3 linked regions of the Nothobranchius furzeri genome follow. The protein of the gene in region 3 purifies or fractionates together with the protein of the main gene of each other region. This does not show direct contact. Links are inferred from orthologs where the notes say so. Each region holds a gene or a part of one and is shown on either strand. Other genes may lie near its edges. The genes, in order: ehmt2, mier1b and cdyl.

Region 1 (5,890 bases), on a different chromosome or scaffold from region 3:
AGCAGTTAAATAGTTGACTATCTCCTCTGGATTGAACTGCAGGAAACCAGTGTAGCACGACAGCAGCAAATCACACACCACCGAGGAGCTGTATAGCATCGAGACCTGGATTAAAGAGGAACATAAAAACACATTTTTAATTTGCAAAAGAGAGTTTAACATGTACCTATATGTACCCACGTGGAGCCTGCGTGACGGGTTCAGGAGGAACTGATCCCTCAGGAAGGGCGAACAGGCAGCGAGCACCACCTTATGTCCTTTGAATGTCTGATTGTTGCTGGCCACGATGGTGATGTCACAGAAATGTTGGCGAGACCTGAGTAAGTTCATGTGCTTCAGGGTCACGTCCCCGTGTCCGGGCAACCGGAACAACACCATCTCCATCTTTTCTAAAAGGCGAAACAACAGAAATGTTTCTAGACTCTTGTAACAAACTAGCAAAAATAAACACAAAAGCGCAGTTTTCAAAGGGTGAGGTTAAAGGGGAAAGAGCTTTTCTAAACAAGACTTACAGTAGGTTTTAGTAGGATTTCACATGAAGATCCTAAAAACCACACATCGTTCCTAGTTCAAGAACAAAACATCCGCTTGTCTCGCATCCTGATATCCAACAAAACTTTTGGGGGAATATTTTGTGAGATTAAGAAACAAAAAGAGGACAATTTCTGCAAAATGTCTGAAAACTGGTGTTAAAAACAAACGCTTCACCATAAGGACAAACACGGTGGTGGTAGTGTGATGGTCTGGCACCGCCTCAGGATCTGGATAATTTAAACCCAGGAATTCTGCTCTCTACCAGTAAAGCCATAAAGAACATAGCTGACCATTGACCTGAAACAGGTCGTTCGTGATGGAAAATCCTCCACATGTGGCTGAAATGAAACTATTCTGTAAAGAAGAGGGTCAAAGTTCCTTTAAAGTGATGCAAGAGACTCAGTATACAAATGCTTGACTGCAATGGCAAAGGGTGGGCAGGGGTCAGTTACTTTTCCCATATGAGGACCAGTTTGTTTTGGATCACTTTATTTCTCTTTAACAAATTAGATCAACATTTAAAACTGTTACTCAGCTTATCATTTTCCAACATAAACAATTAAAAGCACTAAGAATATGTATAGAAGAAAAAAACATTTACTGTACTCTAATGTTATAAAGCATAAAAACAACAGGTATCAAGTAGTTATAATTTTTTTAACATAAAACAATAGTTTTCCTTACACAGTGTTAATGCTAATTAAATTTTGAACAGGTGTTTGTGAAACTGTTTATTACACTGCTATTTATCACAAACACTTCCTGACTATAGATACATTTGATACCTACATAAAGAAACTTAAATAGAAATGTTATGGCCATACCAGAGAGCTAGCTAGTGCTGTTTTCATTCAGGAAAAGTAAAGTAACATTACTTCTTTCAGCAACAGATTACTTTATTGTCCAACATATTACAGCTCTGTAATCCAGCGATGATGGTATCTTCTCTCACAGCTGTGACCATAAGTGGAAGGTGAAAAAGTAGCCTCCCTTCCATGACTGGGCGTTTAAAAAGGCCGAAAAAAACACACATGAATGGTTTAACTTGTCATATATTTTATAACCTTTTGTTGACTAGCGTTATTATACTAACTGGCTTAGATAGATGAAAATTTTGAAATCCTTTGTTTTAGCCCAGCTAGCTGAACCAACTGAGCGTTAGCTCCTGTTAGCTACTATAAAACAGATGGCTATATTTATCCACTATTGTATCATCTGGAAACCAGGTGCCGAAACTCCACAATTATCCTCAAACTTCGCCGAAACTCACCTTGGTCGTTCATCTTTTCCCGCGAATTCCGGGTTTATTTCAGCAGCACGGCCGTTAAAATACGCTAACTGACCAACACATTCGACACATTTCTCAGCCACAACCTCGATTTCTGTTTACTTTTGGGCCCTTTTTTTTTAGCAGGAAGTACTTCTCGTGACAACAAACTACAAACCGCTAGCGGTTCGCCACTAAACTGACTTTGAATCGGTTTACGTCTTGGACCCACTCCCTCAGAAAACCGTAAATTTAGAGCACGCCAGCTGATTTCTGATCAGCGATTTAAAATCAATGGACTCCGAAAGGGGCGGAACTCGAATTGTGACGTAGCACGTTCAAAAATGTGCCTTACGTTCATTGGGAAACATGTCGGCATCCCAGACAACGACAAAGGTAGCAAACGTACTGGAACTCAAAGGGCTTGTTATTGAAATATTGCTCATTTATTATCTTGTAGATGCATCGTGTTATTTAGCAAATCTGTGCTAATGATACTGTCATTTGCAACAAGCATACGTTTGTACTTGTCGGGTTTTATACCTTTTTTATTACAAGCTAATGCTAGCCAATGTTAGCCTTTTTAGTGTTATGTTAACTAAATTAACGAGTAGTTATGGTGCTTTTTTATGGTCGTTTGACTTCTTACATAATCTGCAAATTATTTTCTTGAGGTGCAATGTTACTTTAAAAAGCGAATGAAAGTCTATTTTAGGAAGCTAGCTAGCTGTTTTGTTGTATCATTTAAATAATAACTTGGTTTTAAGCTAGTTTATTAATCCTTGTAGTGTATGGACTACTTTTTATGCTAGAACGTTATTTTAAATCATGTAGATTTCCAGAAAGTTTGCTGTAAATTACATCTTGTTAGCTGTTTATAGTTTATTTGTATTTTCAAATCAATAATAATAGTTTATTAAACCTCCTGTGTTATTCATTTGAATGGGCTCTAATTATTAGGCTTAGTTAGAGTTGGATATGTGGCATTTACCTGGAATTAAGATCACAATCAATCAAGAAATCACTTAAATATGAGCTGCCTGACACAGAGAAGTAGACCAAAAGCACCTCAAAAGGTAGACATCATGCCAAGATCCAAAGAAATTCAAGAACAAATGAGAACAAAAGTTATTGAGATCTATCAGTCTGGTAAAGGTTATAAAGCCATTTCTAAAGCTTTGGGACTCCAGCGAACCACAGTGAGAGCCATTATCCACAAATGGCAACAACATGGAACAGTGGTGAACCTAACCAGGAGCGGGCGGCCGACCAAAATTACCCCAAGAGTGCAGAGACAACTCATCCGAGAGGTCACAAAAGACCCGAGGACAACTTCTAATGAACTGCAGGCCTCACTTGCCTCAGTTAAGGTCAGTGTTCACGACTCCACCATAAGAAAGAGACTGGGCAAAAATGGCCTGCATGGCAGATTTCCAAGATGCAAACCACTGTTAAGCAAAAAGAACATTAGGGCTCGTCTCAATTTTGCTAAGAAACATCTCAATGATTGTCAAGACTTTTGGGAAAATACCTCGTGGACTGATGAGACAAAAGTTGAACTTTTTGGAAGGCAAATGTCCCGTTACATCTGGCGTAGAAGTAACAGCATTTCAGACAAAGAACATTATACCAACAGTAAAATATGGCGGTGGTAGTGTGATGGTCTGGGATTGTTTTGCTGCTTCAGGAACTGGAAGGCTTGCTGTGATAAATGGAACCATGAATTCTACTGTCTACCAAAACATCCTGAAGGAGAATGTCCGGCCATCTGTTCGTCAACTAAAGCTGAAGCGATCTTGGGTGCTGCAGCAGGACAATGACCCAAAACACATCAGCAAATCCACCTCTGAATGGCTGAAGAACAACAAAATGAAGACTTTGGAGTGGCCTAGTCAAAGTCATGACCTGAATCCTATTGAGATGCTATGGCATGACCTTAAAAAGGCAGTTCATGCTAGAAAACCCTCAAATAAAGCTGAATTACAACAATTCTGCAAAGATGAGTGGGCCAAAATTCATCCAGAGCGCTGTAAAAGACTCGTAGCAAGTTATCGCAAACGCCTGATTGCTATTGTTATTGCTGCTAAGGGAGGCCCAACCAGTTATTAGGCTCAGGGGGCAATTACTTTTTCACACAGGGCAATGTAGGTTTGGATTTTATTCTCTCCCTTAATAATAAAAAACCATCATTTCAAAACTGCATTTTGTGTTTACTTGTGTTATCTTTGACTAATGGTTAAATGTGTTTGATGATCAGAAACATTTTGTGTGACAAACACGCAAAAGAATAAGAAATCAGGAAGGGGGCAAATAGTTTTTCACACCACTGTATGTTCAAGAATCAACATCTAAACATGGTCTCCTGTAGTAAAGAAGTGGTCAACAAGAATGTATGTGCTTATGAGGCATTCATACTGACAAAAAGACAAATACATAGAAATCCCAGACTGGTTCTTTCTGTTTGACGTGTTTATTTTCTGAAATTGGAGCTTTTTTTTTAACTGTTTTTGTTTATTTTAAAGCCACAAATAGCTTCCAGCAATGCTGATGGGTGGTTTAGTTTCAAGAGCTTTAAATCTACGTAATGCAATTGGAATGTAAAAAAAAAAAAAAAAGCAATTACTGGTGAAAACAAATAAGACGAATAAGGAAGGTGTTTTTCCACTAAATTATTTTAGTCGGCCGAAATAATTGCAGTTTTTAAAGGAATTGTTAGGAAGCAAAATCTGTTTTAGAGGTAGCTCAAAGTTTGACAGGATGAAATACTAGAGATAAATAGTTTTAATCTTTATAAATCGAAGTACACACGTTTTTCTTCACTTCCAGGATTTTCTTGAAGAAGATGAGACAAAAACACTAACCGAGTCAACGGCAGGTTCAGGGGAGGTAAAAGAAGCTGCTGATGAAGGTACAATTTATTTCATTTAATTACAAATGTAATTCATTAATGTGTCTCTTTGTGTTTCACTTCCTGTCACTAAAAATAACTTGTTTTGAATGTTTTTTAGATGATGCTGCCAGCATTACAGATCCAGTGGATGGTGTGTCGTTGGAGTTGATGACCAGTCATCCTGAGAAGGAGACTTCCAGCGCTGCTGAGGATGGAAGTCAGCGCTCTCCTGCTTCCTCCCCACCTAACAAACCTGCTGCAGGTGAAACTCAAAACCAGTCTTTGACTAAGCTCCTGACTTAATCAGGTTCTGAAGAGAATTATTAAAATTTGACTGTTTTTTTAACGTAGTGATCGCTTAGTTTAATCTTTAGTAACATGTTTTTTCATCTTCAGTAACAGTTTGTATCTCTTCTTAACAGGTCACGCAGCAAAGTCCATTTCCTCAATGTCATCTTATCCTTCCACCTCTTCATTTTTTTCCCCTGGTCGGGCAAAGATGAGCGTTTCCGGGCCGTCTTCTTGTAAATCCGTCCTCCCACCTGGCCCTTCCTCCTCTTCCTCTTCTTCATCCTCCTCCTCCTCCTCCTCCTCCTCCTCTTCTTCCTCCTCCTCTTCCTCTTCATCTGGCTCAGCTTCGTTGACACCTTCTGTCTCCCCGAGTCCACACAAGATCCACCGGGCCCGTAAGACCATGAACAGGCCTTCACCCGGCCAAGTAATGACTTCTGTTACACATTTTTATTCCCACAATTGTTTGTTGTTTTACTTTTTCTGAAAGGTTAGCATTTTTTTATTCGACAGGTGAGTTACGCTGAGACTCCTGCTACGTCGGGTTCCTCCACCTGCTTCTCTACTGACTCTGAAACAGGTAAGTTCTAAACTTCGATCATATTTACTCCTCCGATTGTTCTCCAGCACTCGTAATTACAGGTCCTCTTCTACTGTGTGGTTTTTAAATTAATTCAATGTACGCCGATCACTTCAGCTGGTTTTTGGATTGTTCGTACCGACCTGCAGCTTTTGGTTGAATCAGAAAACTAGTTTTCATGCAGAAGTCTCAGTTGGCACCACTCTGCTCAGGTGTTGCATGGCAGAATGAGCCAATCTTTGCCTCCTGATTCGGCTATATCTCTTAAACACATCGTTGCAACACCAACATGTCTTTTAAAACTCAGAAAATGCTCCTGAAATCTTGT
Region 2 (5,141 bases), about 35 Mb from region 3:
TTTCTGTTAAAACGTGATTTCAAACCCACATAAGTATTTAATTATTATGGTTGTTACGATTATTGTGACGTTTTCTTACTTTAACTGAAAGGCACCATCAGTTTGATCCCTGTCTGTATTTTAGGCCTTTAGTTTAGCGTTAGAATCCAGACTAGGACGACCAATGAAAATGGATGTTTCCAGTTAAGGTTGCTCTGTTCCAGAATATCCTCGTCACCTACATCGGAATGATGTTCGGCGGAGACTACATATTCACCTGGACCAACTTTTTGGGTCTGAACATCAGGTAAGAAGAACATAATCGGGCTTCATTAGAATGTGGGCTAGATCTTACTTGCCTTTAAAGGTGAAAAATGTACAGATTATATCTTATTAGGGATGTAAGAAAATATCGATATGGCAATATATCGTGATATTTTTTCCAGCAATATTATATTGATTTTCAAAAGCCGTGTTTCGGAAATATCGATATGGCAATATATCGTGATAGTGTTTCCGGCAATATTATATAGATATTCAAAAGCCATGTATCAGAAATATTGATATGGCAATATATCGTGATTTTTTTTCCAGCAATATTATATTGATTTTCAAAAGCCGTGTTTCGGAAATATCGATATGGCAATATATCGTGATAGTGTTTCCGGCAATATTATATAGATATTCAAAAGCCATGTATCAGAAATATTGATATGGCAATATATCGTGATTTTTCCCCAGCAATATTATATCGATATTCAAAAGCTGTGTATCGGAAATATTGATATGGCAATATATCATGATATTTTTTCCAGCAATATTATATCGATATTCAAAAGCCATGTATCAGAAATATTGATATGGCAATATATCGTGATTTTTCCCCAGCAATATTATATCGATATTCAAAAGCTGTGTATCGGAAATATCGATATGTCAATATATCGTGATATTATTTCCAGCAATATTATATCGATATTCAAAAGCCGTGTATCGGAAATATCGATATGGCAATATATCGTGATATTTTTTCCAGCAATATTATATCGATATTCAAATGCCGTGTGTCCGAAATATCGATATGGCAATATATCTTGATAGTTTTTCCTGTGATTATTACATCGATACTCAAAAGCCGTGTGTCTAATACTTGAAAGAATTTACATGCAAACATTTGTGTATTTTCTTTTCATTTTGTGCAATTCAATCGCCGCCCGCTAGTTGGCAGCAGTGTGCAATAGGTTTTGTTTCCACCATTGAAATGTAAATCCCTCCATTATGTTCAAATACCTCATGTTAAACATGTTACGTATCAGTTTGGACTGTTTATTGAACATTCTTACAATATATTCAGTAAAAAAAACTGCTTATAACGTCTGACTGAATGTATCTCAATATATCGTATCATCTCCCCTGTATTGTGATATGTATCGTATCGCCAGAATTTCAAAAATGCACATCCCTGTATCTTATTATAAAATATGGAATCCTGTTAGTGCCACTCCGAGAGAAAACTAAAGGAAAGAAGAGATTTATTTGCTCACCAAGATGAACACTGGTGCAAATACAGGCAGAAGCCATCGTGCCTGGTGTGAATGAACTATGGTGACCTCATGTTATTGGTTTCTTTCAGCATCGCTGGTAGTCTGGTTTACTCCTACATCACCTTCACACAGGAACACACACGTCAGAGTAGGTAGGAGCCAGAATCCTTTATTAGAATCTCTAATTCAGCTTTTAACATTTCGTCTCTTCCTGAACAGAAAAGTTGTAAGTCTTGGAGTAGCGTCATGATGCTGAAGAACCACCACGTGCTCTTTTTCTGTTTTAAATCAACCAAGAATTTTTAATGAAACAATATCAGCCTTTTGTAAATTTTTATATAATAAATGTAATATTTTATCTCCTACTGTGTGTGTGTGTCTCTTCCTGTTTGGACCTTAAAACGACTCACATTCATCAGTACATTTATTAAATACAAAGTTATTCCATGAACGTTAAATTCTTGGAAGTTTTGTCATTTATGCAGGAAAAACACACATTTAAATCAGAAAAGGCTACGTGAAGCAAACAAATCCAAAGCAGAGTACAAATTAAACGGGGACAGGTCGTCTTCCGCGTCTGTCGGCTGAAGCTTCTCGCTCAAACGGGCCAGAAGAATTTGACTGTAAACTGAAAGGGAGTGGCGTTTCTGCAGCAGACCTCCACACGCAGCAGCGGTACTACCAAAACCAGAGGAATGGATCATTTTATTTTACATTCAGCTCTTAAGTTTCACCTCTCTGAAGCAAGGCCTACGAGGAAGACGAGAAAATACGGAGATGAAGATTTTCTCCGAGGAGAAAGTAAAACTGTTCCAAGGTAAGAAATCTATACAAACGTTACGTGTAGAGTCACAAACTTTCGGTCTAGTACAAACAAAGTGTTGAGCAAAGCGTGGACTAGGAAAATACAAACATCTACGTGTTGAGTTATAATACAGGACATCACTGATGCCAGCTGCTTTTCACAAACAAACCAGCAGGGGGCGACTCCTCCCCACGGTTTATTTACCACCACCAAACAGCTGAGACGGGAGGAGTGAGCGGACTCTGCTGGAGTCAATCCTCATCACAGAAACCTACAAAAAGTGCAACTACAGCTGTGCCCACCCTTCAAGCCCTCCACGGATCCGGCACCCGCAATCCATCCTTAGATTTGTCCTTTTGGTTAAAAAATATAAATATCTCATGTAAAAAAATATCACGCTTTTATTTTAGTAGAAAATGAAAGAAATATTCTTCGCTAAAATTTTGCTGCGCCAACAGCTGTTCTGGAGAAATGTAGATCTTTAGTGAGACGTGACTTTGGGAGGGGGTGGGGTTTGGTTGGCTGCTTTCCTCCAGCTGTGGTTTCAGTACCCTTTGGACCTCCTACGATCAGAGAGCTCACGAGGTTCATCCTCCGCTACACGACCCAGTCAAGAGTCTCACTGAGTCTTGGAGCCTTCAGTCCTCGTGTGTTCTGGATGGGTCTGCCTCGCTTTGCTCCAAAGGTTCTGCCTCCGTCCTGCACCTCTTGGCAGGCCTGTCAGGCGCCGCGGCTGGCGTGTTGGTATGGTCGAGCGGCGGCTCCAGGGAACCGTTTCTGTCGTGGCTACAGCCGTTGGAGTTGTTGTCTGGAAGGGACGGAGGAGCTTCTGCTGGATGAGAGGAGCCATTGGACTGAACTCTCTCTGGTTTGACTGGGTTTGCTGGGAGCACTGGAGCACCCTCCACTGGGTGACCTACAACACCTGTCAAAGAAACAAGATTATTGGTCAATAACAACAAAAAGGTCGCAGGTCAACCGAAGAAACACCAATAGTGACCTGGTGATTCCACGGTTGGTGACAGTAAGGCTTTTATCTTATAATAGTCGCGTTTCCATGATTGGAACTTGTGTGTGATGTAAATGTGCTCTGAGACAACAAAGCCCCGTGAATTATAACCATCGTGATGTTTTGTGTGGTCTGCTCACCGTTCTGACTGCTGCTGTCCTCCCTCTCTGACTGACTGGTGCTGCTACTGGAGGTGGTGGGAGGAGGAGACGCCGCCCTGCTGGAGGTGGCGCTCTCCGACTCATCCAATAGTCTGTCCATGTAATCTCTGAAACAGAGCAGTGCACACTGCTTACACACACACACTCACACACATCAGGCCAGTTCTTTAGAGAAAGGTGTGTGTGATCCCTTCCACAGAACCATTTCCAAACAGATTCAGAAAAATCCGGCCTGTATTTAATTACGATTCACCGGACAGAAAACAGTTTAACAACTACAAATAAAGCTGCGTTCAAGAGATGTTGGAAATGTAACACACTGCCCCCCCCCCCACCCCCCCCCCCCCGCGCGCGGTTAGGGCGAACGTTTGGCTCTAGGACAGAGGACTTACGTGACACCAGGATGAAGGTTGTATTTCCGTTTTCCGAGTCTGGTTTGCTGTGCAAAGAAATCATAACGCTCAGACTTCTTCCACATGTAATAAAAGGCCACACATTCTCCTACAGACCTAGTTCTCACCTGAAAGATTTAATTCAGCACACATAAAAATGACCATTATTACAGTCATTTCCAGAGGAAAGTTAGACAAAATTCAAATCAGACACAAAACAAATGATGACTTTTACAACTACAGATGTTTAAAGGTCTCGTTCACTCATCATTTCAATAAATCTGCTGTGCTCTCTGGTGAATGAATGCCTTGAGTCCTAAGAGACACAACCATCCGGCTGCACTGTGTGGATATATATATAAATATATATATATATATATATATATATATATATATATTAGGGCTGGGACTTGATTAAAAATTTTAATCTAATTAATTACAGGCTTTGTAATTAATTAATCTCAATTAATCGCATTTTAATCGTTCAGGAAAATGTGCTCTCAAAGTAAAACTTTTAATTAAAATTATGAGATAGAGAATCAAACATTAGACATGGTTATTACTGTAAACTAAAGCTTTTAATAAAAAATGCATTTTAATTATTCAAATGTCACTGTGTGATATGAAACAAAACCCAAATAAACTAAAATTTATAATTACAAATAGAAAAGACCTGCAAAGGGTTCCTGAGACTTTAAATAGTCTCTCTGTCTAGTTGAATGACTGAAATAAATTTGACTGCACCAGATTCTAATTTTTCCAGTTTTACTTGTTTGTATAATTGGGAGATTTTATTAGCATTTCTACTCATAATGTAGTAAAAACACATAAATAATAATCCTTCAAAATGACAGTAGAGCAGGCACAGATATGATCTAGGACTTAAATGAGCTAACTTTTAACACCAGAGCAGGCATGGCATATTCTGCGAATGATCAGGAACACTAACTGGTTCCAGTTGGATGACTGGAGGTGGATGGGAAGATAAAAGATCATGGCGATGAAATAATGATCTGACGAACAGGTGAGCGGACCTTCCTTACATGGGAAGTCCTGATGTCACGTTAAGAAGGGGATGCTGCAGACCCGCAGATTCCCGCCAGCAGCAGCGAATCTGGTGTGATCTCCAGCCTGAACACAACTTCCTCGTTCCTCGCTGCCCCTGATGCACTTAAGCATCCGCCCCTTAGCTGATGACAGCTTCAACACACCTCGCTGCTTAATGATAGTAATGCATGTGATGTTTAGACA
Region 3 (4,566 bases):
ACGGAGCTCTGTATGGGGCGTGTCCAAACTTTAAATTCATGTTTATGGGATGGATTTAAATTCTTACCTCTTAAGTTTCTTTCATAGTTTTAGTCAAACAAGCTCATTTATTTTGAGGGTGGGAGGAGGGAGAAACAAAGGGGATCTCTTTTGTGAATCTGTGTGGGAGGGGTGGGAAACCGACTGCTGTCTGGTTGTTTTTAATATTGTAAAGCGCTTTGAGCTGCATTTGCATGAAAAGCGCTTACCAGGTTAAGCTGTAACTGCTGTCTCAGCCACAAGTTCTCAGACTCTGAGGTGAGGACGTGCAGACAGGAGGATGGAAACTAACCCCTTCTTTCCACCGGATGAGAAACGTACTACACGGTAACTAGTAGCCAATGAAGTGAGTGGGTTCCTTCACCAGCAGCCACAGGTGGCTTTGTGGACATGTCCCAGAAGGAATGTATGCCATTGTTACGTTTCAAGTCTATATTTTACACGCTGTGCTTTCAAACACGGCAAACTCCACAGTTCAGATCGAGCCAGACAGGAAGTCAAACACAAAAGCAGCGTAAAACATCTGGAAACTTTCAAAATAAAAGTAACATCCAGTACGTTCATTCCTGTGAAACCCCGTAGCCGGTGCAAACGGAAGAGGCCTTTTTGGAGACATGCAGTCGTCTTTCTCCGAGCGTTTTATTGTGTGGATGTATGAAATAACGCGCAGTGTTGCAGTTCTCCCATTATGTTTTGACCTCACGGGATCAGCTGTGTGGAACGCTTTCGCTCCTGCTTCACATCAGAATCGTTTCCGGTTGGGAATGAGCTTGCAGGGAAAACGCAGCTTTTACATTTCTCCACGTTTCTGTGGCCGGTGGAAAGCCGGGTAAGTTCATCATCAGGCCTCTCTTCCCTCTGAAGCTCGTCTCTGATCTGGAGCCCGCCTCCCCAGGAAGTAGGTCACTAACAGCCACTTCCTCCTGGCTGCAGGCCTAGAGCAGTTGGTTTCATGCTGCAGATAAGAACACGACCTTCAGGTCACAGATGTCTGCTCTAGTCCTCCACTCGCACTAGAGTGGAGATTCTGACTGATTACTTCTGCGTTGGGACAAAACACAAGAGTCCTGTCCACAGACACGCGTAATGGCCAGCTCGGGATAGGTGTGTTGGGACAGGTGTGGTGGGTAAAGCCTGGTTTATGCTTCTCCGCCTGCGTCAGTGCGGAGACACGCAACGTCCTTGCGTAGGGCTCCGGCAGGCACGCAAGTACGTACGGAGTCGAGCCCACTTTTTTAAACATCTGTCGAACGAGACGGATTACGCAAGCTTGTGATTGGTCAGGACGCAGCTGTTGTTTACAGCGCCGCCATTGCAAAGAGAGCCGAGGATAACTAGCGGCAGACACGGAGAAGCTTGAAGAATACCTCGCGAAAAAACTCTAAAAATATGAACGTTTCATCTTCCCGTGACTGGAGGAGTGAAAAGATGTGCAGCAAGCATTTTATTTGTGGACGGAAATGACAGGAAACGTGGGTTTAGAGGTGGGGAGCGCATGAAGCGGTGGGAGAATGAGAGACAAATATGTCCATGTTAAAAGTGTCTTATATACACAAAAAACACAATACAAACACACTATCTTGGACCGATACATGACAGGATACCACAGAACAGCGCTACGCCCTCTGCTGTCCTGCCGGGCAATTGCTTTGCAACACTCTCCAGGAGACGGAGAAGTAAAAGAGCAAAATGCTTCCGTCAATCTGTGCGTGTCTGTCCATTGCGGAGCTGACGGAGAAGCATAAACCAGGCTTTAGTGTATGGTGCACCTACCTGTATGACACCGGTTTGAATCCCAGTCTCAGCAGCACCTTTGGCCTGACATTCCGTTTTAGAGATTTGAAGCCTTTATTGGTTAAGTGTCAAATAAAAGGACTCATCTGGTTTCTACTACTTTTGTTTATGTAGCTAGTTAATGAGTCAGTAAGAAATGACAAAGTCTTTCTCTCCAGGACATGCTGGACCTACAGAGGCTTTTGCCCCCAGTGGGATGTCATCTGGTTCCAGTGCTGTTACCGGGATAACCAGCGTGATGGGGAAGCGGCGCCTGGAGGAACGCTCCACCTTCGATAAACGTCTGAGGTTCAGCGTCCGTCAGACAGAGAGCGCCTACCGCTACCGTGACATTGTGGTGAAGAAGCAGGATGGCTTCACTCATATCCTGTTGTCCACCAAGAGCTCTGAGAACAACACGCTCAATCCTGAGGTAAGGCCACAACCACAATGCCATGGTGGTCAGAGGGTGAGTAGATTCACTTAGACCACACCCACAAAAATCTATCAGCCAATTCAGGGTACATGGCCTCCTCTTGACCACACCCGCAACGTGCTTAGAACTGTTGGACTGGTTATTTCAGGTGATGAAGGAGATCCAGAGCGCCATGGCGACAGCGGCGTCTGATGACAGTAAACTGGTTCTGCTCGGTGCAGTTGGCAGTGTCTTCTGCTGTGGCCTTGACTTCCTGTCCTTCATCAGACGGCTGACAGACGACAGGAAGAAGGAGAGCATCAGGATGGCTGAAACCATCAGGTGACTCCAGGGAGATGCTGAGTGATGTCCTCCTCACCTTGTCCCTGTCTCACATCCTGTCCTTATCTTCAGGACCTTCGTAAATACCTTCATCCAGTTCAGGAAGCCCATCGTGGCAGCAGTGAACGGGCCGGCGCTCGGTCTCGGTGCTGCCCTCCTGCCACTCTGTGATGTAGTGTGGGCCAATGAGAAGGCCTGGTTCCAGACGCCGTACACGTCCTACGGACAGACACCAGACGCCTGCGCGTCCTTCACCTTCCCTCGTGTCATGGGTCTCGCAGCGGTGAGTCTCCTCCTCACTGTTCCTCTGACTTTTTCTCCTCGCCCTTACTCTACCTCTGACCCCTCCCCAGGCCAGTGAGCTGCTGCTGGGTGGCAGGAAGCTGACGGCCATGGAGGCGTGCTCTAAAGGTCTGGTGTCCCAGGTTCTGTGGCCCGGAACCTTCACACAGGAAGTGATGCTGCGGGTCAAAGAGCTGGTGGCTGTCAACACGCAGGTTTGTCTCCCCCCCCCCCCCCCCCCCCCACACACACACACACACACACACACACTAAGCTGATTCTGGTTCTGCAGGTCCTACAGGAATCCAAAGGCCTGATGAGGAGTGCCAGCCGTAGTGCCCTGGAGCAAGCCAATGAGCGTGAGTGTGAAGCTCTGAAGAGAGTGTGGGGATCCTCACAGGGAACCGACTCCATCCTGCAGCATCTGCAGAGAAGAGCCGATCTCTTCTAGAACCAGGACCAGTCCTGTTTTCCGTTTCAGGACGTGGACATGTCTCGTCTCACTCGGTTATTTATTGTTATTCAGGATATAGACACATCCCGGGTTCCTCAGGCCCCACAGCAGACTTGAGTTCCACCTTTCCATCCTGGTTCTCTACAGAACATGCAGGTTCATGTTGTCTTGCTGGGCCGTTGCTGCTTGGGTCAAGTTCTCCAAGTGCTTCAGGTTGATGGCTAAACCGGGCCTCGGGTCGCTGCTGGTCCAGAGGAGAGTCATGCTCTAGCAGTGATGAATTCTGGGTAAGGGTATCTTCCTTAGGTTGAGATCATGTGACTCTGTACTGCAGTGCTGGTCTCCTGGCAGCAGGTGTGGCTTGGTTCTGCCGGTACCAGTCCGTTCAGCTGATTTGTTGCTGTGCTGAGCAGTCTAAAGAAGTTCTGCTCAGATGGAGCAGAGCCGTTCTGACAGCAGAACTTCTACATGTAATAGAGAATAAAGTCCAACAGAACTTTTCCCTGTTCTGGAAAAAAAACGACTGTTTTATTCACTAATCACACATGAGCCACGTTACCAAGGTAACACCACATGTCCACGAGCCACGTTACCAAGGTAACACCACACTTCCACGTGAACCACATTACCACGGTAACACCACACTTCCACGTGAACCACATTACCACGGTAACACCACATGTCCACGTTACCACGGTAACGCATCACTGGGATCACGACAGGAAGCTGTTGTTAAATTGTTGTTTTATTTTCAGGTTTACTCATAAATCGGGAGACAAACATTCTGCTCTGAGGTCAAAGGTTACAATCCAAAGAAAAACTCAGGTAAAGGTTAAAGGTCGCTCCAGGGAGCTATGCAGAAAGAAACCATGCAGCACTGTTGACCCATTTCCTGTCTTGGGGCAGATTTTTTCTATGACAACAGTAATTCATCTTGGTGAGAGGGTATGTGACCCAGAGGTCACCTCATGGTGGACAAGTGTCATATGCTCCTGTGGCCAGGTGGAGGTGGTAGGTGTGGTCAGGGAACATCAGCAAGTTGTAGAAGTTCTCCCCTCCACTCAGAACCCCGTGCTCGTTGTCCCCCCATGATACTGGACTATCGATGAAACCGTGAACCGTCAGTGAAGCCCAGGACTCCAGCTGAGTTTGCTGCAGGTGACACCTGAAGCACAGGTGAGTTATTTTGTCGTCAGCTGTTCAGGTAAAGGTGTGCTTGTGTGAGAGAGCTAACCTGAGCTCCTGGATCAGTCGCTGCACA

What was found.
Region 1: the proteins of cdyl (region 3) and ehmt2 purify together in Homo sapiens (affinity purification with mass spectrometry; 4 studies listed by BioGRID and IntAct, with this or other methods). This does not show direct contact. The link is inferred for Nothobranchius furzeri from reciprocal best matches to the Homo sapiens genes CDYL and EHMT2.
Region 2: the proteins of cdyl (region 3) and mier1b purify together in Homo sapiens (co-immunoprecipitation; 3 studies listed by BioGRID and IntAct, counting the BioPlex papers as one, with this or other methods). This does not show direct contact. The link is inferred for Nothobranchius furzeri from reciprocal best matches to the Homo sapiens genes CDYL and MIER1.

What each region holds. Positions count from the first base shown.
Region 1 is NC_091759.1:8,508,567-8,514,456, forward strand, and holds the start of ehmt2 (histone-lysine N-methyltransferase EHMT2), read left to right. Parts: upstream 1-2,098; 5' UTR 2,099-2,170; coding exon 2,171-2,197; intron 2,198-4,627; coding exon 4,628-4,709; intron 4,710-4,809; coding exon 4,810-4,953; intron 4,954-5,113; coding exon 5,114-5,409; intron 5,410-5,495; coding exon 5,496-5,562; intron 5,563-5,890. Other genes in the region: zinc finger and BTB domain-containing protein 12, read right to left, coding at 1-105, 181-389, 1,805-1,817. UniProt on the Homo sapiens protein: Histone methyltransferase that specifically mono- and dimethylates 'Lys-9' of histone H3 (H3K9me1 and H3K9me2, respectively) in euchromatin.
Region 2 is NC_091751.1:68,470,604-68,475,744, reverse strand, and holds the end of mier1b (mesoderm induction early response protein 1b), read right to left. Parts: intron 4,019-5,141; coding exon 3,891-4,018; intron 3,606-3,890; coding exon 3,478-3,605; intron 3,254-3,477; coding exon 2,967-3,253; 3' UTR 1,774-2,966; coding exon of another isoform or gene 1,743-1,773; 3' UTR 1,676-1,742; downstream 1-1,675. Other genes in the region: nucleotide sugar transporter SLC35D2, read left to right, coding at 204-286, 1,613-1,675, 1,743-1,773. UniProt on the Homo sapiens protein: Transcriptional repressor regulating the expression of a number of genes including SP1 target genes. Probably functions through recruitment of HDAC1 a histone deacetylase involved in chromatin silencing.
Region 3 is NC_091751.1:33,809,603-33,814,168, forward strand, and holds the end of cdyl (chromodomain Y-like protein), read left to right. Parts: intron 1-1,991; coding exon 1,992-2,245; intron 2,246-2,396; coding exon 2,397-2,569; intron 2,570-2,641; coding exon 2,642-2,852; intron 2,853-2,922; coding exon 2,923-3,066; intron 3,067-3,143; coding exon 3,144-3,302; 3' UTR 3,303-3,489; downstream 3,490-4,566. Other genes in the region: rpp40 (ribonuclease P protein subunit p40), read right to left, coding at 4,272-4,470, 4,540-4,566.